Oryctolagus cuniculus: one gene and its partners. The protein of the gene in region 7 purifies or fractionates together with the protein of the main gene of each other region. This does not show direct contact. Links are inferred from orthologs where the notes say so. Each region holds a gene or a part of one and is shown on either strand. Other genes may lie near its edges.

Region 1 (3,780 bases), on a different chromosome or scaffold from region 7:
CATGTCCCTCATTTGCTTTAAAAATAGCATCTTCTAAGAAGCTGTTAAATTCTTCTTGGGGTTTGATAACTGGTACGTTTAAACCTCCTGCCCTGTTATTTTCAGAATTGGTAGTTTCATTGATTATAGAAATTACTGTTATTTGACGGCTTCTTAGATTTGATGGGTGTATTGAAAGAAAAGGAAAGAAAGAAACAACACACAGTCTTGGATTGCCTTTTTTGATGCTACAACTTTGGCACTGAAGTGGACAGACAGAACAGCTTCCCATAATGCCAGATTGCAAAAACTGAAATGTTTTCCAGGTACAACTTTCAAAACTCAGAAGCAGCTGAAAGAAAATCTGAACAAACAACCGAATAAGCAGTGGAAGAAATCACAAAGTAAGGAACAAAATCTCAACTAATATAAAATTACCTCCTCTTTTTGGAGCAGAAGAAAATGTAGACCATTTGACATCGCACCTGGCATAAACCGTGGGCAAGCCTGTGTTTTTCAGGCCCGGGAGGCTCCCAGTGATTTACACTAAGCCAGCCATCATGAAGTTACTTCTTTAAAAACCACTTTAAACAAAGGAAATGCAGAAAAAGGGTTTGATTGAGTGAAGATTCAAGAGTAGTTGGGGGATTGAAAGAAGAAAAAAAAAAAAACTTGATAGTGCCCAGGCTAATTCTCAGATTCAAAGATACATGAAGTTAGAGGCAGCTGAAATTAAACAACAGAGCTGAAGAAGAGAATAGGCATTAAGAAGCATTTCTGTGGGAGCCATGAAATCCTTCAGATTGGGGATACGCTCTGCCAAATTATACGTGGGCCTCAAATCCTGGCCAGAAGCTCGTTCTCTAACTGGAGCTCCTATAATGTTTTACCAGTTTACCCAGCATGAGATCAAGGGAGTGGAATACTGCATGTGATAGGCTGCTGTGGGCAAACTGAGGAATATTGAGAGAGACTTGAAGGTGTGGAGAGACCAAGGTAAAAGACAGTGAGAATTGGGAGGTGAAACAAGATTCTTAGGATGGTTTTGCTCCAGCAAGCGTATGATATTCATCATGATTAAGGGAGTCCTGTGACATCCTTTTGGTCGTAAATTGCATGCATAAGATCACCAAGAGTCGTCCTTTGAGCCAAAGTTCAACCACAGTGGTGATGTGCTTAGAACTTTCTTATGTTTGCCATGAATTGAGTCAGCAGCAAAAGGAATCCACAGCTCAATACGTAGGAAATAGAGTTGATATTTGTAAGTAATTTTCTTCTGCCAGTGCTCAGGATTAAGTGGATGTCCTCTTCCTGAACACTCTTAATTTGAGGTGTTGCAATCTCCTTTTACTCAGTCAGACTAGGAAAAGAAGGTACTTTATGCTTCAAGGGTCTGTTGGAGGTAAGTAGGTTAGGCCTAATTAAGTAGTGTATTTTGACATTAAACATGCTTGAGAGTGTTTAGATTTCATAGTCCATTATTTAATACAGGATTTATATTATGATTTAAATGCGCATGTTTGCCATATATTCAGAGTATACCCATAACTAAAAAGCTGAAATTTTTCTTTAATTTTAGTCAACTCTTTGTGTTTATATTCTTAACAGCCTTTTGTTTAATTCCAACAGCATCCACAAATCCAAAAGCTGCTCTCAAGTCTAAGATAGTTGCTGAATTTCGAGTAAGTTACAGAATATATTCAGTTTTGTGTTATAGTTTCCCACATGGTCCAGTAAGACTTCTTTTTGTCACTTATGTTTTAAAGAATTCCAAATTGGGATTAGATTACTTGAAGTTTTATCTGTTCCCCCAAAAATAACCTTCTCCCAGAATATCTATTACCAGCTAAATTCTGTAATGAATTCATGCCAACAAACAGATTCATCTTTCTGTAAAGCTCTGATAAATTAGAAATTTCTTAAGAGTAACAGAAGACCATGTTTACCTAATTAAAATTTAAAGAGAATATAACTGGACCTTTGTTTCAGTTTTAATCCTGTATCTGTAAATTAGCCTTAAATAAGGGGCAGGATCTTTTACAGTATATAAATGAATTTATGGTTTTGACATCAGAATTGATTGAGGAAAAGTAAGGGTTTTTTGTTTCCCCTCAAGATTTTGTTAGGTTTTAGCTTAGGTTTTTGTTGTTGTTGTTCTAATAGGAGATAGAATAATTGAATGAGCTTGTAAATGAAATGTGTTTCTGGTCTGTGTTCAGTCTCAGGCCCTCATTGAAGAGCTGTTACTATACAAGCGCTCAGAAGATCAGATAGAACTGAAGGAAAAGCAGCTATCAACTATGAGGGTGGATGTGTGCAGCACAGAAACTCTCAAATGCTTAAAAGGTAATAATTACATCTTTTTAGTTTTTATATGTTTATTTGAAAAGCAGAAAGGGATCTGTCACAACAGCCAGGGTTAGGACAGACCAAGGCCAGCAGCTAGGAATTATTCCGAGTCTCCAAGTGAGTAGTAGCAACCCAAATACTGCCTCCCAGGGTGTGCACCAGCAGGATGCTGGAATGGAGAGCAAAGCCAGGATTTGAACCCAGGCCCTCCAATGTGAGCTGCAGGTGTCTCACGTGGCAGCTTGACCACTGTACCAAATGCCCAACCCACTTACATCCTTTAAATAGAATAATTCAGATTTTTCTTTCCAGAAATGTCATTTTCAGGTAGTCTATAAAGAGAACATTAGATTGTAGAAAGCAGTAAGTAAATTCTTATCCTTCCCCTCCTTTCTAGTCTTTCTTGGTATATGAGCTTATATATAGACACTTGTGTTGCACATGTGTGGTTTGTCGTTTGGGGCATGCTTTTTAATGAGGTCACGCTAATGCCTCATAAAATCTTGTTAGTTGCCCTCTTTTCCTTACATTGTAAATAATAAATAATCATACTAGAGATCGGCACTGTGGCATAGCAGGTAAATCCACCACCTGCAGTGCCAACATACCTTATGGGCACCGGTTTGAGTCCCAGCAGCTCCATTTCTTAACCAACTCACTGCTGTGGTCTGGGAAAGCAGTAGAAAATGACCCAAGGGAGACCCAGAAGAAGCTCCTGGCTCCTGGTTTCGGATCAACCCAGCTCTGGCTGTTGTGGCCAGTTGAGGGAGTGATTCTCTCTGCCTCTGCCTTTCTGTAACTCCATCTTTCAAATAAATAAATAAATCTTTAAAAAAAAAAGAATAAAGAATTTAATCTACCTTAAGTAAAGTTTTAAAAAAATAGCTATTAGAGTATAACCCTCATGAAGGCAGAAATTATCTTTTTTTTTTTTTTAAGGTTTATTTATTTGAAAGGCAGAGTTACAGAGAGAGATTTCCATCCCCTGGTTCACTCCCCAAATGGCTGCAACAGCCAGGGCTGGGCCAGCCCAAAGCCAGGAGCCAGGTGTTTCTGGATCTCCCACGTGGGTACAGGGGCCCAAGCTTCCCAAGTGCATTAGCAGGGAGCTGTATGGGAAGTAGAGTAGCCAGGAATTGAACTGTTGCCCATGTGGGAATGCAAGCGCTGCATGTGGCGGCTTAGCCGATATGCCACTCACCAGCCTCCAGAAATCATCTTTATTTGTTCATTGCTATCCCCAGTGCCTACGGTAATCTTAGTACATAATAAACATTTGATACATAGTTTTGAAATAATGAGTAAATGACAACTAGCTTTCATTTGGGTGCCTGTTTTGTCTCTACACCATATCTTAACATTTATCTAATGTAGCCTTTACATCAACTCAAAAGCATACTAAAAAACCCTTCTGAGTTTTTGGCTTTCTTTTTGTTTGTTTGTTTTTGAGTA
Region 2 (4,457 bases), on a different chromosome or scaffold from region 7:
CCGGCCCCCTGCCCTTCAGCGCTCAGGTGCTGAAACCCCCCTCCCTCCCGCCCCGGGACTGCAGGCCCTGGAGGCAGCCGCCCGCCCAAGCCAGCACGAAGGAGCCCTGAAACAGCTTCACCGGAGGAAGGGTGAGAAGAACGGGCGAGGGGGGCCCGGGGCCACCGTACCTTTGTCGCTGGGCAGATCCCCCTGCAGGGAGCTCCCCACAGCCTGCTGAACGGCCCGCTGCGAGAAAGCGGAGAGGTCGGGGCTCAGCGGGCTCCGGGGACAGCACCCCGACGCCCCCCCGCCAGACCCCTGTTCGCTCGCCCAGGAGCCAGGGCCTCCCAGCCCACTCTCCCGCTAGGGGCCCCGAGGCAGGGCCTCCCAGCCACTCTCCCTCCACTCCAGGGGTCTGGCAGCCTCACCAGGATAAAGGCAGAAGGAGAAAGCGTGGGGTCCCTGTCTGGCGGACCCTCGCCCCGATCCTCGCCCGACTCTTCCGTCTTCCCTCGAGACTCATCCTCTTCCTCCATGGTCACCTGCTGGGGGAGGGGCTGACTTGGGGAGCAGCCCCGGGTGCAGGAGGGGGGGCCGACGGAAGACACCAGGGCCCTCATCTCCCCACCTTCCCTCCTCCGCTTACAAAAAGAGAACAGTCCTCATCTCCGTCTGCCCGCGATGGACGCCACAGAGCAGTGCCCTCTGGGCTTTGGCTGTGACCTCTGTCGAGGGGCGGCCTCCCTACTCCCCGGTCCCCACGGCTCCCCCACAACCAAGCCCAGCGTCAGGACCTCGCACTAGACAGAATCAGAGATCTGTTTCCGCGCCATGACTTCAGAGCACGGTGCACGGTCCCACCAACCCCTTCCCCACGCCGAGCTGCGTGCCAGTGCCCGGGGCAGCCAGTGTCACCCACCACAGCTTCCCGGAGCATCGCTCGTCCTCCCACACGTACGACGGGCCACGCGAGGCCGGTCTGCAAAAGCCTCGTGCCAGTTCCCAAACAAAAATGCTTAGCGTCCGATACGCATGCTGTCTCCCAGGACCCCAGGGCAGGGGCACTGCCATCAGCCTCCCGTCCCAGGGAGGCACTGCCGAAGCCCTCCCGCCGCCCGGAGACGCTCAGCTCTGGCTGCCCGGTCAGGCGGCTAGAAGAGCAGGGCTTCGGCAGCCAGGGACTACCCCACCCCGAGCTTCCCTGCGCCTGTCTGCTCTCAAACCCCTGACCCTCAACTCCGCGTCCTTACCTGAAAGTGGGCAAACAGAAGACCGGGCTCATGGCACAGCCGTCGGAACAGAACGAGGCTGCCTTACGTCCCACACCCGGCACATCCCAAGGGCTCAGTACCAGGAGCGCTAGTCGCACCGTTAGCCCTGCAGCCCAGGCTCCTCCTACGCCGTCTCCTCTCCTGCCCACCTGTGCACGCCTGCGCCCCACCTCCAGATTTTTCCACCTGTGCCGTGGCTCCCACCTCAGCCTCCCTCCCTGCTCTTGGGAACCTGCAGCCACTTCCCTAACGCCCTGAGACTCCTACACACCCCAGCCTCTCACCAGCACTCAATACTGTGGGGCGCAGGCCCCCCGCACAGCTCCCAGCCCCGGCCCTGCTGGCCAGCACTTCCCGGGAGGCACACACCACCCACGACAGCGACTGTCACCCATCAGAGGCTCAATCGAGACCTGCGGGGGACAGAGCTGGCGAGCCCAGACCCTCTGTGGACGACTGAGCTGGTGAGCCCAGACCCTCTGCAGGGGACCGAGCTGCAGGGCCAGACCCTCTGCGGGGGACACAGATGCTCCTTTGCTCACTGAGAGGCCCCTGGACTTTGCAGGTGCACCCCTGGCTCCTCAGATCTTGGGACAGAGCAAGGCTGCGGCCACTGCTGGTCCCTCCAGGTCAAGGGTTTTCAGACTAGAGTCGGACAGCTGTTCGCTGCTTCCAAAACAGCTTGTTACAAAAAGGACATAAAACATAACAGAAAACTGTCCACAGCACCCCAAGTAGCAAGTGCAAATATCAATTCCCGGGCCCCGGAGTATCTAAACACCCGTCAGTATATACTTTGTCTCAATGGAAAACCTACTTCTCCCTGCAGCCCAAGGCTGAAAGACTTCGCAAAGCGATGCGCCAGGAGCGTGTAGACGGCCCCCCAGCCCCTCCCAGGCCACTGTGGACTACCGCTCTCTCCCTACCGCCCCAGGGAAATGCAAAATCTGTAAGCATTTTTCGTTTCGTGGGAATACTTTCCGAAGGGCAAGTGTGTCTGCAGCGGGCCGAATTTCCAGCACGCTCGTTGGAATTTTTCTCCACACGTTCATCTGTCCCCAAAACGCATTCGAGTCTTTCCCAGGCACAGCCTGCACGCTTGCAGTCACATCAAAGCCACCGAGCGCATTCCAGGTCCTTCCAGCCACCCCCGACCTCCCGTCACCCGGATCAGACACTCCACGCCTCCAGGACATCTCAGGACTGGCCTCGCTTCCCGGCTCGGCGCATCCCAGCCCGCTGTGTGCCCCTCGAACGCTTCCTAGCCCTTCCGTAATTCTCCCAGGCCCGATAAATGCCCCCCCTACCCGACCCGTGTACCCACCAGCCGCATCCTCAGGCCAGCCGGTGTAGACACTTGCCAGCCCCGAGAGACATACCCTGGGCGCTCTAGACGGCTCTGCAGACCTGCTCCATCCCCGGGACACGGCTCAAGCTCCCAAGATGGCCCCAAAACCCTCTGAACAGACCCCAGCCTCCGGCCGGCCCCTAAGAAGCATCCACAGCCCCCGCAGCCGCGACCCAGGCCGGCTGCACGAGGCAGGGCAGCCCCCGGGCTCAGGCCAGGTGCCGGGACCGACCCCAGCGCTCCCGGGCGCTCCGTCGACGCCCCCCGGCGCCCACGGACGCGTCCCGGGGCCCTCCGCAGGCCCCTCCGTTCGGCGCCAGGCTGCGCCGCTACTGCCGGGCCCGAGGCCGCCCCGCTAAGCCCTCCGGGCCCCGTGGCGTGCGAGGAGGACCCCGGGACAACCAGCGACCCGACTCCGCCCCGCCCACCCCAATAGGCCCGAGCCCCGCGGCCCGGACCGCCGCCGCCATCTTACCCCGCCGCTCGGGCTGCGGCTCCGGCCCCGGCGCGGGGCGGGGCGGGCTGGGGCGGGGCTCGCGTGCCGAGGAGGAGGGAGGCGGAGTTAAAGAGCCGCCGAGCTTGCCGGGATTGCAAGTACCGAGCACGGCGCCGTGAAGGCTGGCGGGAAGGCGCTCGGACTCGGTTTCCCAGAAGTCCAGGGGACAGGTGGGGCGGGGCACGCGCGCCGCACGCCGGGAGGCGTAGTCCGCGCACCGCCTCCGTCGCGCGGGGCCAGCAAGGAGGTGAGAGGTGAAGTGGGCGGGGCTGCAGGAGCCCGCGGGGAGGCCCCACAGTGCCCTGCGTGCGCGCGGAAAGGGCGGCGGAACAGGAAGTGACGTAAAGGGACGCGCATGGGAACGGATACGGGGAATTGTAGTTCTGCGGCGGGAGGACTGGGTGGGTACCGTCCCGCCCACATCCTGGGGACTCTCGGGCTCAGATTCCCTCTATATTTAGGACCCTACAGCCTCTCCCTTCAGGACGCGGAAGTCCCAGGAGTCCGTGCGTTACAGCCTCCTCCCTCGGACTGAGGGGTCTGCGTGTTCTCCCTCAGGCTTCGGGAGCCTCCTCCCTCCATTCCTGGTCTGTGCCCTGGGATCCAGAATTCTGAGTCGCCAAGCTCTCCAACCCCAGACCCAGGATCCAGTCCTCCAGCTCCGTCACTACCGGCACCTCCTGCGCAGTGCCCCGGGGGCCCGAGTCTGCAGCCCCCATTCCTTCCTGGGGCCCGAGGTCCCTCCTGACCCGGGCGTCCCGACTTGGGAGAGCTGGTTCATGGATTAGGAATGCAGTGATCTCACGGCCCCGCCCGTTCAACCCGCCGTCCCCTTCCAGGGCCCCAGCTCTCCTTCCAGCCGGCCTTCCGCTGGGCCGGGTCCCTTAGCAGGCGGAGCCCGCACGCCCGGGCCGAGAGCTGGGCTGGGCTCCCAGGGCGGGGGTGGAGCCACTTCCTCCGGACCCGCTTTTTCCTCGGAGAGCCCTATATACGGACGCGCCCGAGTCGGCGAGCGCCGCCCACCAGAATAAGGCCCGGAGCGGCTCGCTCCCCGGGCTCCCTCATTTGCATAGCTCCTCCCCGAACGAACTTCCCGCCCCGGCAGTCTAAAGAATGTGCTGATTTGCATGTCCCCGCCCACACGCGGCCGGCCTGCTGAGAGCGCGTGGCGCAGCTCCTTCATAAGCATATCCCCGCCCCTTTCGGAATTCCCCTGCCTTATTAGCATAGCTCCTCCTTCCCCGGGGCCCTGCCTCCTCCTTAAGTGTCCTGAGCCGCGAACCCTTCGGGGGCAGAGCTCATGACTATGCAGTCCCCTCATTAGCGTATCCCGCCCCCCCCCCGGGTCCCGCCCGGCTCC
Region 3 (3,780 bases), on a different chromosome or scaffold from region 7:
GAGTTTGTGAAGAAAACTTTGAAACATACTTGATGGACGGATAAAAGACCTAAGGAAATGGAAAGCCACACCATGTTTCTGGAGAAGAGGACATCAATAAGAAGTAAATTTTCCCTATGTCAACTTGCAAATAAATCTAAGCAAAATCCCAGTAAACCTATTTAACAACAAAATGGCTTTCTTTTTAAAAATGGGACAAAGTTAGCCTAACCTGTAAACAAAAAAGTCTAGTGAAGAAAATGCTGAAAAGATTTTGTCAAGGAGGGAAGGTTGATGTTACTGGTGAAACACCGTGGAGAAATGACATTTTACTAACTGGACAAGGATGGAAAAGAAAGTCCATCAGTATTCTCAAAGGTACAGTAACAGTATAAAATATGTGTAGTCTTTTATAAGTTTTTATTTCTTTTTGCCAGAGAAGTATAAATAGTGATTATCTGTTTTTGACAGAGAAAGAGGATTGTAGTGGGAACTGAGAGTTTGGGGGTCAAAAGTGAGGAAAATTAACTGTATTCTTTTTAAACTTCTGTTTTTGTGTCATGTATTTCCTATGGAAAAACTGAGCATTAAAGAAGTCACAGTGTTAATTAGTTGGAATTTTACATCTGGGGCTGACGCTGTGGCGTAGCAGGTAAGGCTGCCGCCTGCAGTGCCAGCATCCCATATGGGCACTGGTTTGAGTCTCGGCTGCTCCACTTCCCATCTAGCTCTCTGCTATGACCTAGGAAAGCAGTGGAACATGGCCCAAGTCCTTGGGCTCCTGTACCTGGCGTGGGAGACCCAGAGGAGGCTTTGGATAGGCACAGCTCCGGCCTTTGTGGCCAACTGGGGAGTGAATCAGTGGATGGAAGACCTCTTTCTCTCCCTCTCCTTCTCTCTGTAACTCTTTCAAATAAATAAATAAAAATCTTTTAAAAAATAAAATATCCGTAGTAGTATATTTCTTCTCCAGGCTATAAGACTAAAGCAAATGAAGATATAGCCAACTTATATAGCCAAGTTATTTCTGAATATAATACTGTAAACATTTATATCAATTCATACCATGTTTCTTAAAATTTGATACACAATTCATCAGAGCATAAACAAATCTGCTTTTCCCCATGATACCTTCTTTCTTATTTTGTTTTACTTGACAGGTAGAGTTATAGACCGTGAGGGAGAGACAGAAAGAAAGGTCTTCCCTCCGTTGGTTCACTCCTCAAATGGCCGCTATGGCTGGCACTGCGCCAATCTGAAGCCAGGAGCCAGGTGCTTCCTCCTGGTCTCCCATGCGGGTGCAGGGCCCAAGCACTTGTGCCATCCTCCACTGCCCTCCCGGGCCACAGCAGAGAGCTGGACTGGAAGAGGAGCAACCAGGACTAGAACCTGGCACCCATATGGAATGCCGGCACCCAGGTGGAGGATTAACCAAGTGAGCCATGGTGCCGGCCCCTCCCATGATACCTCCTTAAACATAGACTATGTAGTAGAATGGAGTAAGTCCTAAAATACACACTTCCTTGATTAGTGCTTTGGAATATTGCCACAGTGACTTCTGATTCAGGTAACACAGCAAGAAAAGAGCCAAGCTGCCAGGAAAACAATGATGGTGCCTTACGTAAGAATACCAGCTCCCATTTACTGTGCACATATTACACATAAAATGCTGTGATACGCTCCCAAGGCCCCTCAACATCTCTATAAAGTTCTGCTATTCTCACTTTACAGATGAGCACTGTGAAGCTTAGGCAAGGCAAGTTCACTATCAGAAGCTCTACTGAGCTCCCATTTATCTTAGGTGGTGGGGATGGGAAACAGAGGGCATTTCGATACTCAAGACATATCAGTATAACTCATAAAGACCACATTTTTGTTAAACATGTGCCTGATGTAAAAAAAAAAAAACTAAAAGGGGGCTAAGATATAAAGACTGCATTTAGATCTGCTGGTCTACTCTCCTCAAGACAGAAGAAAATCCACACAAATCAGCCCTCATTCACAACAATATTACTGACAAATGTTATTCACAGGTCAGGATTTCCCACTGGGGTAGTCACAGATAATTTTGCAAAGATTTCAAACTCCTAAGTCTTTAGTCACCCTACACCTGGTATTTCCTACTGAAAGACTTATTACCTTGCCAATCATGGTAGACAAATCTCCATCACTCAGAAGAGGATTCTGAGAATCTCCAACTCGAGATGGATCTTTTGTTGCTTTGTCATTGCTGAAAGTTCTCCATTCAGATCCCACATCAATAACCCGGTCACCTAAGAATATAAGCACACATCTGTTTGGTAAAGATGACATGATTTAACAACAGTGCCAAGCCCACGTCAGCCCATTTATTCCCAAGAAATCTAAAAAAGGACATATAGGCCTCCCCTTAAATATGGCATCTCAAACAACAGTCCTGAGGTATCCTTTTAACTGTTGTGCCAGTTCATGAATAACCCTTTTTAAACATTTCTCTATACTCCAACTCTTGGAAGAAACAATCGGTCAAAAACAGCAAAATAATTCTATCTGTATATGATACAAAGATAAAACAATATATAATGATTCAGAACAAAAATTTTGCATAAAATTTGCCACAGCCATGGGACAAAACCAGACAACTGTTCAGAATGGTTTTAATGCACAACTTAATATAAAGAACTTCTGAGTTTTTTATGGGAAGTGCTTTGTAGAAAATAAGCCTGAACTTAAGTTTCAAAGTCACCATTTGACAAAAAATATTTTTGTACTAATTATATATATGCATATATAATAAATTTTAAACCTAGAATTAGTAAGAAGAAACACAGGTAGGCAAACTTTTCTTTTTAAGCAAAGCAGCAACAGCTAAATATGCCATGTCAAAAAAGTCAGACAGGGGCCTGTGCCGTGGCACAGTAGGTTAATTCTCCACTTGCATCCCATATGGGCGCCAGTTCTAGTCTCGGCTGCCCCGCCTCCAATCTAGCTCTCTGCTATGGCCTGGGAAAGCAGCAGAAGATGGCTCAAGTGCTTGGGCCCCTGCACCCACATGGGAGATCAGGAAGAAGCACCTGGCTCCTGTCTTGGGATCGGCGCAGCTCCAGCCGTTGAGGCCATTTGGGGAGTAAACCAACGGAAGGAAGACCATTCTCTCTTTCTTTCCTTTTCACTGTCTTTAACTCCACCTCTCAAATAAATAAACAAAAATCTCAAAAAAAAAAAAAAGTCAGATAATATGGGACAAGGATGTGTAGCAGGTAAAGCCACTACTTATGATGCCCACATCCCATACTGAAGTAACAGTTCCAAGTCCTGGCTGCTCCATGTCTGATTCAGCTCTCTGCTAATGTACCCAGGAAGACACAGGTGATGGCCTGAGTACCTGAGCCTCTGCCACCCAGGTAGAAGACCTGGATAAGTTCCTGGCTCCTAACTTAGGCCTGGCCTATTCTTGGCTGTTGTGCCCATCTTGGGGGTAGACCAGCAGATAGAGATTCTCTCTCTGCCACTCAAGCCTTTCATATAAAAATTAAAGCAAGAGCGAGAGAGAGGAAGAGAGAAAGAGAGAGACATAAGCAAATCTGCTTGGTTACTAGTTTATGGTAATGTTCAGTATTTGCCAATATTTTCTTTCAGAGTAGATAAGAATTAACACTGAACACACATACACCAGCCATTGGGCCCTTAGAAATGTTCTCACTTAATCCTCATGGCCTTATAAAAGCAGGTGCCAACTTTTATTATCACTTTACAAGTAAGATTAAGTGGCTTAAGATACAAAACCAGAGTCAGTGCTACTGCTTTGTAAAACATGAGTTT
Region 4 (3,780 bases), on a different chromosome or scaffold from region 7:
AATTTATTAGGAGTATGCAAGGTGAATGTGGAAGAGATGTTGTAGGTTATCGGAAACACTGTTTCCACTTCTGGTTTCAGCTTTCTTACCATCTCCACAGACTGCAGGTGGCTGTAGAGACTAGGCAGAATGAAAGGTGAGATGGCAGCTGCCTGGGTGCTCAAGGTAGCATTGCCTTCGAGGCTGCATCCATTGAATAGCACCTCTTCAGATCAGGAAGCTCAGACATGAGTGTGTGTAGCTGGATTAATTGTTAGTACATTGCTGTGTGAAATGTGTGCTCTCCCTGTATATGAGTCAAGGTAGGAGAACTTACATGGTCAGCAGCTTGCTTGATTAGTGAGGATCAGAGCCAGAAGGGTTATGTAGATTATCTTGATGGCTGATGCCGGCAGCCTGCCACTGCCTGATGCATCTCTGTTGTATTTGGGTTACTTTGCTTCTCTCTCTGCCTAGTCATCCCTAAAATGGGAAATGAATGAAGACCTTCATAGCGAATGTTTCCCTGTCAAGGATTAGGTTGCCAAAATCCATTAGTGGAATACTGACAACTTGGTGCTGTTTGTGTGAGTGATCCTCTAGATATGAGTTTTGTAATATAACCTGTAAGCTGTTTAAGTCCTCAGCTTAATGTCTAGATACGGACTTGGGCCCAACGGCGGTATAGTGACCTCACTTAATCTCTTTGCTACCAGATTTGATCAGGTATGTTTATCTTTACGTATGTATACAGGGCTGTGTAAAAACCTGTGGTTGTTACATGCCTTAACTTAAATATTGGTAAAGAAGGAAGCAAGCTGAACATAAATATAGGAAATAGGCATTGACCTGTAACTGGCTTGTGTTAATGCTGTGTTATCCTGAAGATGGGATGGGGGACAGGTGAGTGGGATGGCCTAGAAGGCCTGGAATGGAAAATAATGGGGCTTTTTACTTGTGATAAATGCTTGCCTCCTTTAGGTTTTCTCTGTGATCTACATCCATAAGTTTGTTGGATAATAATTAGTTTTTGACTGTGGTATCAGTCCATGAGACAGTCTATTAATATTTGACCAAAGCATCAGAATGTGTGACTTGATAGTGATAGAAAAAATCCCAAGCTTTTCAGGTATGTGTGCTGCCCCAGGAAGCTGTGGTGCTGCTGATGTGGCTGTGCTGCTTAAGTTGTTTTTTTTTGTTTGTTTGTTTAAGATTTTATCTATTTATTTGAGAGGTAGAGTTACAGACAGTGAGAGGGAGAGACAGAGAGAAAGGTCTTCCTTCCATTGGTTGATTCACTCCCCAAATGGATGCAATAGCTGGAGCTGTGCTGATCTGAAGCCAGGAGCCAGGTGCTTCTTCCTAGTCTCCCACGTGGGTACAGGGGCCCAAGCACTTGGGCCATCTTCTACTGCTTTCCCAGACCAGAGCAAAGAGCTGGATTGGAAGAGGAGCAGTCGTGACTAGAACCAGTGCCCATATGGGATGCCGGTGCCGCAGGCAGAAGATTAACCTACTGTGCCATGGTACCGGCCCTGCTGCTTAAGTTCTTAAGATTGAGGACATAGATTGAGCAGGTGATGGTTTCTGTGAGGCATGCTACCCTAGAGAGGGCCCCGTGATTTTGTATTGAAATCAGATCCGGTTTTAATTGGCATCTTTTTCTTTTAGGTGATGAAATTTATCGAGAAGGCCCAGAACATGTCTAAGTAAGTGCCTTCAGGTCCACCCCTCTCTATTACTCTGTAGTTGTACATTTCTAGGCTTTTTGGAGGATTTGGGATAACAGCAAGCTCTGAAAGCTTGCAGATTGAGATGAAACCACTAGAAGTGTTGCTGTGGATTCGTTCTGAGAGGAGGAGTGTGGTGGGGGCAAGAGGCGTGGAGTCCCCACATAGACCCCGGGAGTTGGGTGAAAGCAGTCCTGAGGCAAGCAGCCTGTAGATTCTTTTATTTCAGTTGGTACAGCAGCTTATGTAGCCAAGGCAGTCAATCCGGTCAAGGGGTGGTCTATGCCCTAACCAATCACAGCCTGTTGCCAGGCAGTTTCCAAAGCCATCCAATCACAGCCTGTTGCCAGTCAGGCTCTGTTGCCATATGGTTTCCGAAACCATCCAATCACAGCCTGTTGCCAGGCAGTTTCTGTTACCAGCAGCCATCTTGGCATGGCCTTCTCATTCCACCGCGTAGAAGTGAGATGGCCAAGAATATCATTTGGGTGCTGTACATTGTAGAAGTGAATTTGCTGTTATCAACCCCTAAGTTTTTTTGGGACGTGCTTTGAGACTTTGTCTGCCTGCCTTCTCCTAGGAAGCCATATTTGTTGACATTTAAGCATTTGTAGACTTTTCTAGCCCTTGTTTAAATACATGATTCAGAGAAATAATTTTCTAATTTAGAAAGTACTGAAATACAACAGAATATTTATTCTTCATATATTATGCATAGTTAACTGTTGTTAATAGGTTTTCTTTTTTAAAAAAAATAATTTTACTGTTTTATAATAAGAGGTATATGCTGATTAAAGAATTCAAACCAGGCATAATTAAGAGATGAAACTGTCACTGACTCCCACTAGGGACAACTATTATTATTCAGTGACTAGCATTCCACATGTATTTTATAAAAGATTATACTACAGGGTGTTTTTTTTTTATTATTTTTTTATTTTTTGATAGGCAGAGTGGACAGTGAAAGAGACAGAGAGAAAGGTCTTCTTTCTCCATTGGTTCACCCTCCAATGGCCGCTGCGGCCGGCGCACCACGCTGATCTGAAGCCAGGCACCAGGTGCTTCTCCTGGTCTCCCATGCGGGTACAGGGCCCAAGGACTTGGGCCATCCTCCACTGCACTCCCAGGCCACAGCAGAGAGCTGGCCTGGAAGAGGAGCAATCGGGACAGAATCTGGTGCCCCGACTGGGACTAGAACCCGGTGTGCTGGCGCCGCAGTCGGAGGATTAGCCTTTTGAGCTGCGGCGCTGGCCACTACAGGTGTTTTTTAAAAGATAATAGCTTTGCCGGCGCCGCGGCTCAACAGGCTAATCCGCCTTGCGGCGCCGGCACACTGGGTTCTAGTCCTGGTCAGGGCGCCGGATTCTGTCCCGGTTGCCCTTCTTCCAGGCCAGCTCTCTGCTGTGGCCAGGGAGTGCAGTGGAGGATGGCCCAGGTGCTTGGGCCCAGCACCCCATGGGAGACCAGGAGAAGCACCTGGCTCCTGCCTTTGGATCAGCGCGGTGCGCCGGCCGCGGCGGCCATTGGAGGGTGAACCAACGGCCAAGGAAGACCTTTCTCTGTGTCTCTCTCTCACTGTCCACTCTGCCTGTCAAAAAAAAAAAAAAAGAAAATTGCTCTGTACTGAATATTTATAGACCTTTTTTTATTCCCTAAACAATACAACAATTATTTATATAGCATTTACCTTCTAATAGGAGTTGTAACTAATCTAGAGATGACTTAAAGTGTACAACAGAATGCGTATAGGTTATTTGCAGATAAGTGCCACTTTATATAGAAGGAACTTGAGTATTGCCAGATTTTGATGTCCTAGAGGGTAGTCTCTGGACTCAGTCTCCCGAGGACACTGAAGGACTAGTATATTCACAGGGTTGTGTATTGATCACCACTATCTAATTTCAGAATATTTTCATGAACTCCAAAAGAAATTCCATATTCGTTAGTCGTCATCATTGATTTCCCTTCCCTTCAGCCCTTAATGATTACCCCATTTTCATTGCTACCAACAACAGAGTTCTCCACAGCGTTACCAGTGCTTGCTGCTGTCCTTGTTTTCGATGATGGCCAT
Region 5 (4,382 bases), on a different chromosome or scaffold from region 7:
AAGATTCTCTCTCTCTCTCTTTCTCTCTTGCTGGCTCTACCTCTTCCTCTAACTCTGTCTTTCAAATAAATAAAATAATCCTTTAAAAAAATCTGCTTACGTCATCAGTGCAGCTGAGGCTGGCCACGTCTCTGACAAAACAGCCGCCTTACATATTCATGAAGCAGCTGCCTTTGCTGACGTTTACCAGGATGAGTATTAAACAGATGCGTATTTTTGTGGCAATGTTGGGCTTCCTGAAAGCAGCCCAGGCAGGATTTTTCTGACATATGCTTGCAGCATTACAAAACTTTACTCTTTGTCACTAATTATATGAACTATTTATAGGGCAAATTGTCAATACCCAGTATTTGCTCATGCATCTAACATTTTCAATTTGTGGGTTTTTTTGTTTGTTTTTTAGCCATATCTATTTATACCTGATTTTTTTTTTCTTTTTAAAGGACGTTCTCATTATGATGCCAATGACAAATTCGGGGCTTGTGATCAAACACGCTGGGAGGGGAAAAAAAATGACGCACGTTGCCATGGGGATATTATTGATGACTATTAGATTGCTTCTCAAATTCTGAATAGAAAGCCACGTTAACATTTTGAATCATAAAGTTACAAAACTAGCAGAAGCCTGAGGAACCTGGCTGAGACCATAGGTTTGGCGTTAGGCAAACTGGGTGACCCTAGACCCACACCCATTGTTAAGTCTCAGTTACTTTGTCTTTAAAATGGGGATGCTTTGGAGTTGGCGTCCTAGCGCTGTGGGTTAGGCCAGAGCTTGGGACACCTGCCACCCACACTAGAGAGTTGTTTCAGGTCCCGGCTGCTCTGCGTCCCATCCAGCTCTCTGCGGGACACCTGCCCCCCACACTAGAGAATTGTTTCAGGTCCCGGCTGCTCTGCCCAGCTCCCTGCTAATGAGCCTGGGAGGCAGCAGATGATGGCCCAGGTGCTTGGGCCCCTGCCACCCACGTGGGAGTCCTGGATGGAGTACCTAGCTCCTGGCTTCAGCCTGGCCCAGCCACAGTTGTTGGAGGCATTGGGAGAGAGAAGTATCCGAGAAAAGATTTCCGCGTGTCTATCACTTTGCCTTTCAAATAAAAATAAATTTAAAAATGTTGAACAGTTGTTTTAAAAAAATAAAATAGCGGGTCGAAGCCATGGTGCTGTGGGTTAAGTCGCGGCCTGCAGCGCCGGCATCCCATATGGGCGCCAGTCTGAGACTCGGCTGCTCCACTTCCCACCCAGCTCTCTGCTAAAGGCCTGGGAAAAGCAGCAGCAGATGGCCCAAGTACTTGGGCCCCTGCACCCGCGTGAAAACCCTGAACGAAGCTCCTGGCTCCTGGGTTGGCCCTGGCCCAGCCCTGGCCGTTGAGGTCACTTGAGCTAAATCGCCTGTTTCTGACTAATTTACTTAACTAGACTCGCAACCAAATCCAGCCTACACCAGCCCGCCCACCGCATGTCGCCTAGCAACAGCCTCCTCCCCTCACGCCTGCGCTTTTACCCCGCCCCCTGCTCAGTGCGCATGCTCAGATCCGTGCGTCCGGCCCCGCCCCTGCGAGGCGCTCAGCAGTGACGTGTAGAGTCCGCGACGCTCCCGGCGAGCCGAGCCGGTGAAGTGGGGGAGTTGGCTCGCTGGACCGAGCCCCGGGGCCATGGCCTCGGCCGGGGTGGCCGCTGGGCGACAGGCCGAGGATGCGTTACCGCCACCGGCCGACCCGCCGCTGACCGAGACCAAGCCGTTGCCGCCGCCGCAGCTGCCGCCACCGGTGGCCGCGCCCCAGCCGCAGCAGTCGCCGGCGCCCCGGCCCCAGAGCCCCGCCAGCATGAAGGAGGAGGAGAACTACTCCTTCCTGCCGTTGGTTCACAACATCATCAAATGGTAAGGAAGGGCCCCGGAAGAGGGGGCCCCGCCGCCGCCGCTGGCGCTGGCGCTAGGAGGCTGCAAGGGTGCGTCCCCATTTCTCGGGCGGGCAGGCCGAGGCCAGGGGGTGGGCAGGGGCCTCTCCCGAGAGCTCGCGGCGCCTGTCCGGGCGCATGGGGGCGCCGGGGGGCGCCGTGCTCTATGCGGGGGACACTTGCTCCGAGCTGGCCGGCACAGGTGGCCGGGGGCCTCGGGAGCCTGGGCAGCGTCCCTGAGGCTCCGTAGGGTTAAGACGCGCTCTGGTTTTCTCCTCGTCTTCAGCACATCCCGCAGAGAAACATCGTCGGGACTGCATAGCGTTCTGCTAGGCGTTACGGGGTGCGCACGGTAAAAGGGGCCGACTGCGGGCCGGCCTTGTGGCGTAGCAGGTAAAGCCGTCGCCTGTAGCGCCAGCATCCCGAATGTCTCCAGTTCGAGTCCCGGCTGCTCCACTTCTGGTCCAGCTCTCTGCTGTGGCCTGGGAAAGCAGTGGATGATGGCCCAAGTCCTTGGGCCCCTGCACCCACGCGGGAGACCTGGAAGAAGCTCCTGGCTCCTGGCTTTGTTCGGGCTATTTAGGGAGTGAACCAGTAGATAGAAGATCTCTCTCTGTTACCCATAATTATGTTACCCATAATTCATACAGATTGAGCCTGCAGGGCTGAGATGGCCTGCAGAGACACAGAAATCGCCTCCACCGGGCCTGGACTAACTTGATCCCAGCCTACCTTGAAAGGATATGGCCGTGCTGTTGGCCAGCCCTCAGGGGAGCCCAAGCTTTCGGACAGACAGGCTCTGGAAAGGAAAAAACAAAAACAGACAAGAAACCAAAGTCCCCCCCGTTCCACGCTTGCCTGAGTGAGTACGCCGCTGGCGCTGACGTCACGGAGTGGTGCCTGGGAGAGTGAGGAGGTGCAGCCGAGGCATCGGCCGCTTGCTGCAGGCAGACACGTCCCAACGGGACATGCGTGGTGTTTGGCCTTTCGTGGAAGTAGGAGGAGTACGTTCTGAAACAGCAGTGAGAGGTATAGGACAGCCAATACGAGGATTGTTTTGAAAGTTCACGGAAAAGTGCGTATTATGGAAAGATGTGTATGGGTTTCATTTTATTTTTCAGGGATTGGTTTTACTTATTTGAAAGGCAAAGTGATAGGGAGGCAGAGAGAGAGAGAGATCTTCCATCTGTTGGTTCACTGCCCAAATGGCCACAACGGCCGGCCTGGGCCAGGCTGAAGCCAGGAGCCTGGAACCCCATCCGGGTCTCCCACGTGGGCGACAGGGGCCCCAAGCACTTGGGCCATCCCGGCTGCTTTCCCAGGCGCATTATCAGGGAACTGAATTGGAAATGGAGCAGCGGGGACTTGAGTAGGTCCTCATGTGGGATGCCAGCATCAACGGCTTGTGCCACAATGCTGGCCCCTGAACCAAAATTTTAGTTCCATTTTTCCAGTAACTTTTTTTTTTTTAATTCATTTGAAAGGCAGAATTACAGAGAGGCAGAGAGAGAGAGAGAGAGAGCTTCCACCCAATGGTTCACTCCCCAAATGGCTGCAACAGCCGGAGCTGTGCCGATCTGAAGCCAGAAGCCAGGAGCTTCTTCTGGGTCTCCCAAGCAGGCAGGGGGCCAAGGACCTGGGCCATCTTCTACTGCTTTCCCAGGCCATGGCAGAGAGCTGGATCGGAAGTGGAGCAGCCGGGACTAGAACCAGCACCCATATGAAATGTCGGTACTGCAGGCGGTGGCTTTACCCACTACGCCATAGCGCCGGCCCCGCAGTAACTTTCTGAAGTTCCCTGTATGAGAACTGGCAGTGCAGTCGGTTTCTTTCCGTCGGAGTCACCACGAACAAGGTTGTTTTCAGCCCCGTTTTAATCTCATGCCACCATTCGTCGTGTGTGTAGTCTGTTGTTGGCTGACTCACGACTCAGTGCTAGATGTAAACCCCCAGGCTTGCCACTCGAGCTCAACCATTTAAAACCAAAGCAAGCTAAACTTGACACCACCACCATTGCGGGGGCGTTCAGGTTGAAGGTTGATGGGCTTGCCGATGCTGTGCTGAGATGGAGTCGCTGCTGACAACGTGGACTTTTTTTTTCTTTTAAAGATGTATTTATTTGGAAAGAGTTACAGGGTCCGATGTTACCTGCGGTGCTGCCTTCCCATATAGGCACCGGGTCGAGTCCTGGCTGCTCCACTTCGAATCCAGCTCCCTGCTAATGGCCTGGGAAAGGCAGCAGAAGATGGCTCAAGTGTTTGGACTCTGCTACCCGTGTGGGAGACCCAGAAGAAGCTCCTGGCTTTCACCTGCCCCAGCCCTAGCTGTTATGGCTGTTTGGGGACTGAACCAGCGGGTGCAAGATCTCTCGCTCTGTCTCTCCTCTCTAAGTTTGACTTTAATTAATGAATAAATCTTAAAAAATTTTTTTAAAAAAGGAGTTACAGTGAGAAGAAGAGACAGAGAGATCTTCCATGTGCAGGTTC
Region 6 (2,986 bases), on a different chromosome or scaffold from region 7:
GCGGGCTCGGCCAACGGGGGCGCGCACCACTGCCGGCCGGAGGCGGGGCCGCCCGGCACGCCCAAGAGCATCCAGGAGCTGAAGAGCCGCAACGACATCCAGCGGCTGCCCGGGCAGCGGCCGGACAGACTGGGCGGCCAGAAGCGCCGGGGGGACCAGCGCGACCTCGGCCACCCCGGGCCGCCCGCCAAGGTCTCCAAAGCCAGCCACGAGCCCCTGCTCCCCAATTCGTCCCCCCTCCCCACCAACGGGATCAGCGGGAGCCCAGAGAGCTTCCCTGGGCCCCCCGACGGTGGCGGCGGTGGCGGTGGCGGCGGCGGGGGGCACGGCCCTGAGAGCGGCCGTGTGGAGCCCACCGAGAATGACACGCACAGCGGCAAGATCCCTGTCCACGCGGTGCGGCCGCACACCAGCTCCCCGGGCCTGGGCCAGCCCCCCGGGCCCTGCCTGCAGACTAAGGCAGCGGTGCTGCAGCAGCTGGACAGGGTGGACGAGACCCCCGGGCCCCCCCACCCCAGGGGGCCCGCGCGCTGCTCCTTCAGCCCCCGGAACTCACGGCACGAGGGCTCCTTTGCCCGGCAGCGGAGCCCGTATGCACCCAAGGGCTCCGTGTCCAGCCCCTCGCCGCGGCTCCAGCCGCTCGACGCCACCCAGGTGCCCTCACCTCTCCCGCTGGCCCAGCCGTCCACGCCCCCCGTGCGGCGGCTGGAGCTGCTGCCCAGTGCCGAGAGCCCGGTGCGCTGGCTGGAGCAGCCCGAGGGCCGCCATCGACTGGCGGCGCCGGGCTGCAAGGCAGGGCTGCCCCCGGCCGGCTTCTCCCCAGACTCCTCCAGGGTGGACAGCGACGCTGCCGCCGCCGGGGGCTCGGACAGCAAAAAGAAGAAAAGGTACCGGCCACGCGACTACACGGTGAACTTGGACGGGCAGGTGGCCGAGGCGGGCGTGAGGCCCGTGCGGTTAAAAGAGCGGAAGCTCACCTTTGACCCCATGACGAGACAGATCAAACCTCTGACCCAGAAAGAGCCAGTGCGGGCGGACAGCCCTGCGCGCACGGAGCAACCGCCCAGGACAGAGCCGGACGCGCCCGAGGCCAAGGCCAGCCTCCAGAGCCCCTTTGAGCAGACGAACTGGAAGGAGCTGTCGGGCAACGAGATCATCCAGTCGTACCTGAGCCGGCAGAGCAGCCTGCTGCTGTCCTCCGGCACGCAGACGCCGGGCGCCCACCACTTCATGTCCAAGTACCTGAAGCAGGAGCAGAGCCGGCTCGGGGCCCGGCGGCCGCACGTGCTGCTGCCGCACAGCCCGCCCGCCGAGCTGCCGGGGCTGAGCCGGGAGCTCACGCAGGACGATCTCGACAGAATCCAGGCCGGCCAGTGGCCGGGGGTGAACGGGTGTCGGGACACACAGGGTAACTGGTATGACTGGACGCAGTGCATATCGCTCGACCCGCACGGCGACGACGGGCGCTTGAACGTTCTGCCTTACGTCTGCCTGGACTGAGCGCCCGCGGCCGCCGGGCGCACTCCCACCTCGCGGCGGGCGGGAGCGGGGGTGGGGGGCAGGAGCCACGCGGGCTTCCGCCCCTTCCCCCCTCCCGGGACTCTCCTCCTTTTGTGAAATGCTGCTACCAGTTTACTAACAAAATTGCGAAGGGAGGGCGGCGCGCACGGACGGCAAAGCGAGTTCGGAACTTGAGCGAACGCGTCAGTCCCCACCCGGGCACCCAGGCAGGCAGGCAGGCAGGCAGGCGGGCGCAGGGCTCCGCGCTGGGGGGAGCAGCAGGAGCACGCGTCTCGGCCCCGCACTCGCTCTTCTGGGGTCTGGGAGCCGGGGGGAGGGGCCGCGGGCGGGCCACGTGGACGACCAGTCTAGCCCACACTCCACGAGCATCCACCCATTTCGATCTGGTTTCGGTTCAAAATCCCCAGTTTTTCAAAGAAATGCTGCAAAAAATTTCAGTTCTCTCGCGTTTATTTTCCATGTGACCACCAGCCAAAACCCGCCCTCCCCGTCCCTGCCCCTCCCCCACACGCCTGGGGAGTTCACCTTCCTAGAGTCCCCCCCAGAACAACACAGATGTCGCCGCGGGTGCTACTGGGGTGCGCGCCGTGCCGCCGGGCGAGGAGCCGTCTGCGCTGACACTCATAACCATTCCTTTAGATTCGTTTGCCTTATGGTTACTCGTCATAAACGCGATTTGCAAAAACAAGGAGCCTTAGTGAATGTACAGAACCCAGACTTCTGCGTCCTCACGCAGAAGGGAGCAACTTTGCTATTTGGTCCAGTAAGTGGACACCTTGTGATATAAATGTGGAAATAAAAAACCCATTTGCACAAACTCGTCTGAGAATCGTTTCCTACTTGGGCCTTCGGACAGCCACACAGCGCCTGCCTGGATTCTGGACGAGCCGGGAGGGCCCGGGCCCCACAGCCCGACGGCAGGCTGGGCTGCGGCCACCTGCCAGCTCTGGAGAGACCCCACAGGCGCCACGTCTGCAGCTCCGGGTTCCAGTGGCCTCGGCCCCTCCCCCCTGCCCGCACCACCACCACCAAATATTTGTTGTTCTAAGAGGCCCAGCCCTTTGGCCTTAGTACCCTGATCACTGAAACAGCTGTCCTGCCTCCATTATAAAGGGGTAATAAGACCACCCCGATGGGCCATCCTGTCCCTGTCTCCCCCACGTCCCGCAGCCGCCCAGAGCCAGCAGGGACTTGGACACACACTGCCCTGTCCAAAACAAGGGTGCAGTGGGGTCGAGTGGCTTTGAGGGCAGGGTGAGGCTGAGCCCTGCACCTGCCAGCCGTGGGCTCGCTCTGGCTCACTCCCTGGAGGTGCGAGAACCAAATGATCCAAGTCCTCTCAAAAACCAGCAAGCCCGTTGGTGGGTGGGCTGCGACTCCCGGCCGCGCTGCGGAGTAGGGTCACTGCTCTCACTCCGTGCACAGTGGGCTCACCCTGGCCAGCTCCGGTGGCCGGCAGGTGCTA
Region 7 (4,545 bases):
GTCCTCAAGACACGTCCAGGCCAACTCTCCCTCCCAGTGCCCTGATCTCTCCTCCCTCTGCCTGACGTCTTCCTCCCCACTCACCTCATCCATTGTCTTGTAGCATGGTGGGTTGGAATTGGGATCAAACTCCATCTCTGATGGGATAGACTGAAAGGAAAAGTCAAAGTAGGTCAACACTGTCATTTCCTTATCTATACACTTCTTTGGGAGGCAGAGAATACCCATCCGCTGATTTACTCTCCAAATGCCCACAGTGGCCCAAGCCTGGGGCCAGAGCCAGGAGCTGGGAACTCCGTCCAGGTCTCCCACCAGGGCAGCAGGGACCCAGTCACTTGAGCCATCACCAACCGCCTTCGTAGGGTGCACATTAGCAGAGGCTGGAGTCAGCAGCCAGAGATGAGTATAGAACCCAGGAGGGTCAGCACTTTCAACAGATGCTTCAGTAGATGACCACAAACGGGCGCATCTTTCTAGCCCCTACCCGGTGTCCCAGCCTACCCGGTGTCCCAGACTTACGTGTCGAGAGATGAAGCAAGACATTGGCCCAATTTCTGTGAAGAGTCCAACCTACAAGGAAAACGAATGATTTCGCTTTTTCTTCCCCTCCAAGTCTTTTGTTCCCATTTTTACTTGATTCCTACAATTTTACTCATGTTCTATGACCGGTATGAATTGTGGCATTTGTTTGCACTTCTCTTTTTTATTAACATTTCATTATGTATTTAGCTATTTTATGTACCTGAAACGCAGAGTGACAGAAAAAACAGAGAATCAGATCTTTTGTCCAATGGTTCAGTCCCTAAATGGCCCCAGTGGCTGGGACTGTACCCAAGACCCCAGAATACCAGCCAGGTCTCCCACGTGGGTGGCAAGGCCCCAGCACGTGGGTCATCTTCCACTGCTTTCTCAGGCACATTAGCAGGAAGTAGCACAGGAAACAGCACCTGGATGCCAACCGGCACACTGATACTCAACAATACTGGAATGTAAGTAAGCCTAACCCACTGCACCACAATGCCAGCACCAATCTTTCATTTTAAGTTAAGTAAAAACAGTGCAGTAGTAAAGAGCCTACACCTAGGACTTGAGAGAGAGAGAGAGAGAGAATCTTTCATCTGCTGGGTCACTCTCCAAATGGCTGCAATGATTAGGGCTGGGTCAGGCAAAAGCCAGGAGCCAAGAACTTCCTCTGAGTTTCCTACATGGGTGCAGGGGCCCAAGGACTTGGACCATCCTCCACCACTTTCCCAGGAGCATTAGTAGGGAGCTAGATGGAAAGCGGAACAGCCGGGACTTGAACCTGCACCCATATGGAATGTCGGTGCCGTATGTCATGGATTTAACCCGCTGGGCTACAGCGCTGGCCCCAGGACTCTACCCTTACGACTATTAATACTGAATCACGTGCCTCCTGAGTGAGGCAGGACCAAGATTCCTAGAACCATTTGCCAAGTGAGGAAACTGAAGTACAAAAAAGTGACTTAGCCAAAGGCACAGAGTTAGCAAGAGGAGCAGGGACCCAAACCAGCTCCTCCCAGGGACCACCCCGTTGCCTCCTCTATGTGAGGACTCACCTTGTTGACCTGAGTGACAACTGCATCCACGACCTCACCTTTAAAGGGCCGGAAAACAATGGCCTTGTACTTAACAGGATAAAGCACAAAGCCTCGGCCTGGCTGAATCACTCCTGCGCCGATGTTGTCTATGGTGGTGACAGCAATGACGAAGCCATACCTGTGAGGAGGATGAGAAAGAGAAAGGTTCTATATGCGGAAGGGCCTCTAACGCCATCTGCAGCAAGAGTCATCGAGCCTGGGAAGGGGTTAAGAGGGGAAGCAGACAGCATCTCTGCCCCCAGAGCGCTTCAGAACCAAGAGAAAGGGCAGGGATCAGCATCTGTAAAGGCCACGCGCTGCTCTCCTGTTTCACAACAAACATCCGAAGTGGCTGCAGTCTCTGACCTCAATCTTCGAGCTGCCTCAGAATCACCTGGGAGGAGCGTGTGAGCAGGCAGAGTCCCAGGCCTGCCCCAGAGATGTGAGGAGTCTTAGGAACGAACGTGCATCCAGGGTAATCTGGCTTTGCTGTAGGCTCAAGTACCGCCCGGCCCCGAGCTGAGTTCCAGTCCACTCCTACCGCTCTGGGAAGAACCCAAGGACAGTCAAGCCCCAGCCTCCTTCCTTCCTCACCCCGTCGACCCGCATTCTCTGGTCATTCACTCAGGAAACACACTGTGCCATGCCAACTCCCTGGGCTCAGCAGAAACCGAGGGACAAGGGTTAAACTGTGAGCCCCACGCGTGCTGGCCTCATTCCATCTTGTTCTCTGCATGTTCCCAGGGCCCAACACGGGGCCCGGCTCACAGCAGGAGCTCGAAAAACGCGCAGTAAAAGAATGAGAAATCTAGGCTGAAGGAAGTTACGGAGCGCTCCCCAGCGTGGGTGGCAAGGTGCTGCAGCCCACGCTGGGAGGGGGGCGGCTGCAGGTACAGGGTCCCGTGTGCGCGCCGCCGAGACCACACGCACGGCCACAGTACTCACTTGCCAGTGCAAGTCCCCTCCACCTCGGTGAAGAGCTTCTGCTTCACGGTGTTGAGCAAGTTAGGGCCAAAGTAGCGCGGGTGCAGCAGGATCTCGTGCTCCAGGGAGATCTGCGGAGACAGCGGAACGCAGACGGAGGATACGGGGCAAGCAGCAGCCCTCCGCACCGGCGCCCCGTTCCTCCTCTCGACCCAGCCCTCGCCATCACCCCGCGCCCTGCTCACGTGGTAGAACATCTTCCCCGACGAGACTCTAAAACAAGCCGCCACCAGCGCTACAAACACCGACCCACTGGCTTCACCGGAAGCGCACGCCGCGCAGCCGCCCCTCGCTTCCGGGTCCGCCGGAAGTGGGCGGGACTCCTTCCAGTCGATGGATACGATTGGGCCTCCCTGTGGAGGATTGATGAAGCTCCGCCCCTCGGTTCCTCCGACTGGCGCTCAAACCTTGCCCGCTCCGCCAAGTAACTTAAAGTATTTGTGAACTGAATATTTTAAACTGAATTAATTCCTGGTGAAAGATGACATAATTATTTTAACAGCGGAGTCATTCAGCAAGTATTTTACAGACTGCTTTCCCATAGTCAATGTGGTGTTAAGTATCTAGGTGGATAGTAGCCTTTTTTTTTTTTTCAAGGTTTTATCTATTTGGGAGGCAGAGTTAGAGAGAAGTAGAGAGAGAGAGGTCTTCCATCCCCTGGTTCACTCCCCAAATGGCCGCGAAGGCCGGAGCTGGCCCAATCTGAAGCCAGGAGCCTACTCAGGGTCTCCCACGTGGGTGCAGGGCCCGAGGACTCAGGCCATCTTCCACTGCTTTCCCAGGCCATAGCAGGGAGCTGGATCAGAGGTGGAGCAGCTGGGACTCGAACTGGCGCCCATATGGGATGCCGGCAATGGAAGCCGCGGCTTTACCCGCTATGCCACAACGCCAGCCCCTGCTCCACTTCTGATCCAAATCCCTTCCAAAAGCCTGCGAGAAGCAGTGGAAAACGACCCAAGTGCTTGGGGCCCTGCACCCACAGAGGAGACCTGGAAGAAGCCCCTGGTTCCCAGCTTTGGCCTGGCCCAGGCCTCATCGTTGTACCCTTTGGGGAGTGAACCAGTGGATAGAAGACTTGTTCCTTTCTCTCTCACTGTAACTCTGACTTACAAATAATTAAATAAATATTTTTTAAAAAAATTGTTGGCGGCTGGCGTTGTGGTGCAGTGGGATAAAGTCATGACCTGCAGCACTGGCATCCAATATGGATGCCGATTCAAGTCCTGGCAGCTCCACTTTTTTTTTTAAGATTTTATTTATTTATTTATTTATTTATTTTGAGAGGTAGAGTTACAGAAAGTGAGAAGGAGAGACAGCAAGAAAGGCCTTCCATCTGCTGGTTCAGTCCCAAAATGGCGGCAACGGCTGGAGTGCTGGCCCCAGCTCTACTTCTGATCCAGCTCCCTGCTAATGTACCTGAGAAGGCAGCAAGTCCTTGGGCCCCTGAAACAGGGGCCTGTGGGAGACCCAGAGGAAGCTCCTGGCTCCCTACTTTGGCCTGAGCTAGCCTGGTCATTGTGGCCATTTGGGGAGTGAACCAGCAGATGGAACATCTCTCTCTCTCTCTCTCTCTCTCTCACTCTTTCTGTAACTCTGCCTTTCAAATGAATAAATAAATCTTTAAAGAAAATTTTTGATAAAAACATACTAAAGATGTTTTCAGTCACTGCCATAATTTTGTAAGTGGAGATGGCTGGTATAGAGGTCCTTGTCCTCCCATAAAAAAAAATTCAAGCAAGAGACAGAGATTAGTGATAAGCAAGACAACAAGGTTTGATGAGTAGTGTATCCATTAGAACAGATGGGCGGCTGGCGCCGCGGCTCACTAGGCTAATCCTCCACCTAGCGGCGCCGACACACTGGGTTCTAGTCCCGGTCAGGGCTCCGGATTCTTTCCCGGTTGCCCCTCTTCCAGGCCAGCTCTCTGCTGTGGCCAGGGAGTGCAGTGGAGGATGGCCCAAGT

What was found.
Region 1: the proteins of POLR2G (region 7) and RPRD2 purify together in Homo sapiens (affinity purification with mass spectrometry; 3 studies listed by BioGRID and IntAct, counting the BioPlex papers as one, with this or other methods). This does not show direct contact. The link is inferred for Oryctolagus cuniculus from reciprocal best matches to the Homo sapiens genes POLR2G and RPRD2.
Region 2: the proteins of POLR2G (region 7) and SCAF1 purify together in Homo sapiens (affinity purification with mass spectrometry; 3 studies listed by BioGRID and IntAct, counting the BioPlex papers as one, with this or other methods). This does not show direct contact. The link is inferred for Oryctolagus cuniculus from reciprocal best matches to the Homo sapiens genes POLR2G and SCAF1.
Region 3: the proteins of POLR2G (region 7) and GTF2B purify together in Homo sapiens (affinity purification with mass spectrometry; 3 studies listed by BioGRID and IntAct, with this or other methods). This does not show direct contact. The link is inferred for Oryctolagus cuniculus from reciprocal best matches to the Homo sapiens genes POLR2G and GTF2B.
Region 4: the proteins of POLR2G (region 7) and GPN1 purify together in Homo sapiens (affinity purification with mass spectrometry; 4 studies listed by BioGRID and IntAct, counting the BioPlex papers as one, with this or other methods). This does not show direct contact. The link is inferred for Oryctolagus cuniculus from reciprocal best matches to the Homo sapiens genes POLR2G and GPN1.
Region 5: the proteins of POLR2G (region 7) and MED9 purify together in Homo sapiens (affinity purification with mass spectrometry; 3 studies listed by BioGRID and IntAct, with this or other methods). This does not show direct contact. The link is inferred for Oryctolagus cuniculus from reciprocal best matches to the Homo sapiens genes POLR2G and MED9.
Region 6: the proteins of POLR2G (region 7) and MED26 purify together in Homo sapiens (affinity purification with mass spectrometry; 6 studies listed by BioGRID and IntAct, counting the BioPlex papers as one, with this or other methods). This does not show direct contact. The link is inferred for Oryctolagus cuniculus from reciprocal best matches to the Homo sapiens genes POLR2G and MED26.

Annotation. Positions count from the first base shown.
Region 1 is NC_091438.1:47,536,983-47,540,762, reverse strand, and holds part of RPRD2 (regulation of nuclear pre-mRNA domain-containing protein 2), read left to right. Parts: intron 1-305; coding exon 306-383; intron 384-1,608; coding exon 1,609-1,661; intron 1,662-2,198; coding exon 2,199-2,325; intron 2,326-3,780.
Region 2 is NC_091449.1:7,852,934-7,857,390, forward strand, and holds the start of SCAF1 (splicing factor, arginine/serine-rich 19), read right to left. Parts: upstream 3,058-4,457; 5' UTR 2,587-3,057; coding exon 2,578-2,586; intron 528-2,577; coding exon 411-527; intron 229-410; coding exon 171-228; intron 1-170.
Region 3 is NC_091438.1:82,117,665-82,121,444, reverse strand, and holds part of GTF2B (transcription initiation factor IIB), read right to left. Parts: intron 2,253-3,780; coding exon 2,119-2,252; intron 1-2,118. UniProt on the Homo sapiens protein: General transcription factor that plays a role in transcription initiation by RNA polymerase II (Pol II). Involved in the pre-initiation complex (PIC) formation and Pol II recruitment at promoter DNA.
Region 4 is NC_091433.1:175,373,804-175,377,583, reverse strand, and holds part of GPN1 (GPN-loop GTPase 1), read left to right. Parts: intron 1-638; coding exon 639-705; intron 706-786; exon of another isoform or gene 787-882; intron 883-1,650; coding exon 1,651-1,688; intron 1,689-3,780. UniProt on the Homo sapiens protein: Small GTPase required for proper nuclear import of RNA polymerase II (RNAPII). May act at an RNAP assembly step prior to nuclear import.
Region 5 is NC_091448.1:66,356,906-66,361,287, forward strand, and holds the start of MED9 (mediator of RNA polymerase II transcription subunit 9), read left to right. Parts: upstream 1-1,561; 5' UTR 1,562-1,652; coding exon 1,653-1,879; intron 1,880-4,382.
Region 6 is NC_091447.1:64,933,174-64,936,159, reverse strand, and holds the end of MED26 (mediator of RNA polymerase II transcription subunit 26), read left to right. Parts: coding exon 1-1,500; 3' UTR 1,501-2,338; downstream 2,339-2,986. UniProt on the Homo sapiens protein: Component of the Mediator complex, a coactivator involved in the regulated transcription of nearly all RNA polymerase II-dependent genes.
Region 7 is NC_091432.1:8,823,576-8,828,120, forward strand, and holds the start of POLR2G (DNA-directed RNA polymerase II subunit RPB7), read right to left. Parts: upstream 2,920-4,545; 5' UTR 2,780-2,919; coding exon 2,768-2,779; intron 2,654-2,767; coding exon 2,544-2,653; intron 1,738-2,543; coding exon 1,578-1,737; intron 571-1,577; coding exon 520-570; intron 151-519; coding exon 85-150; intron 1-84. UniProt on the Homo sapiens protein: Core component of RNA polymerase II (Pol II), a DNA-dependent RNA polymerase which synthesizes mRNA precursors and many functional non-coding RNAs using the four ribonucleoside triphosphates as substrates.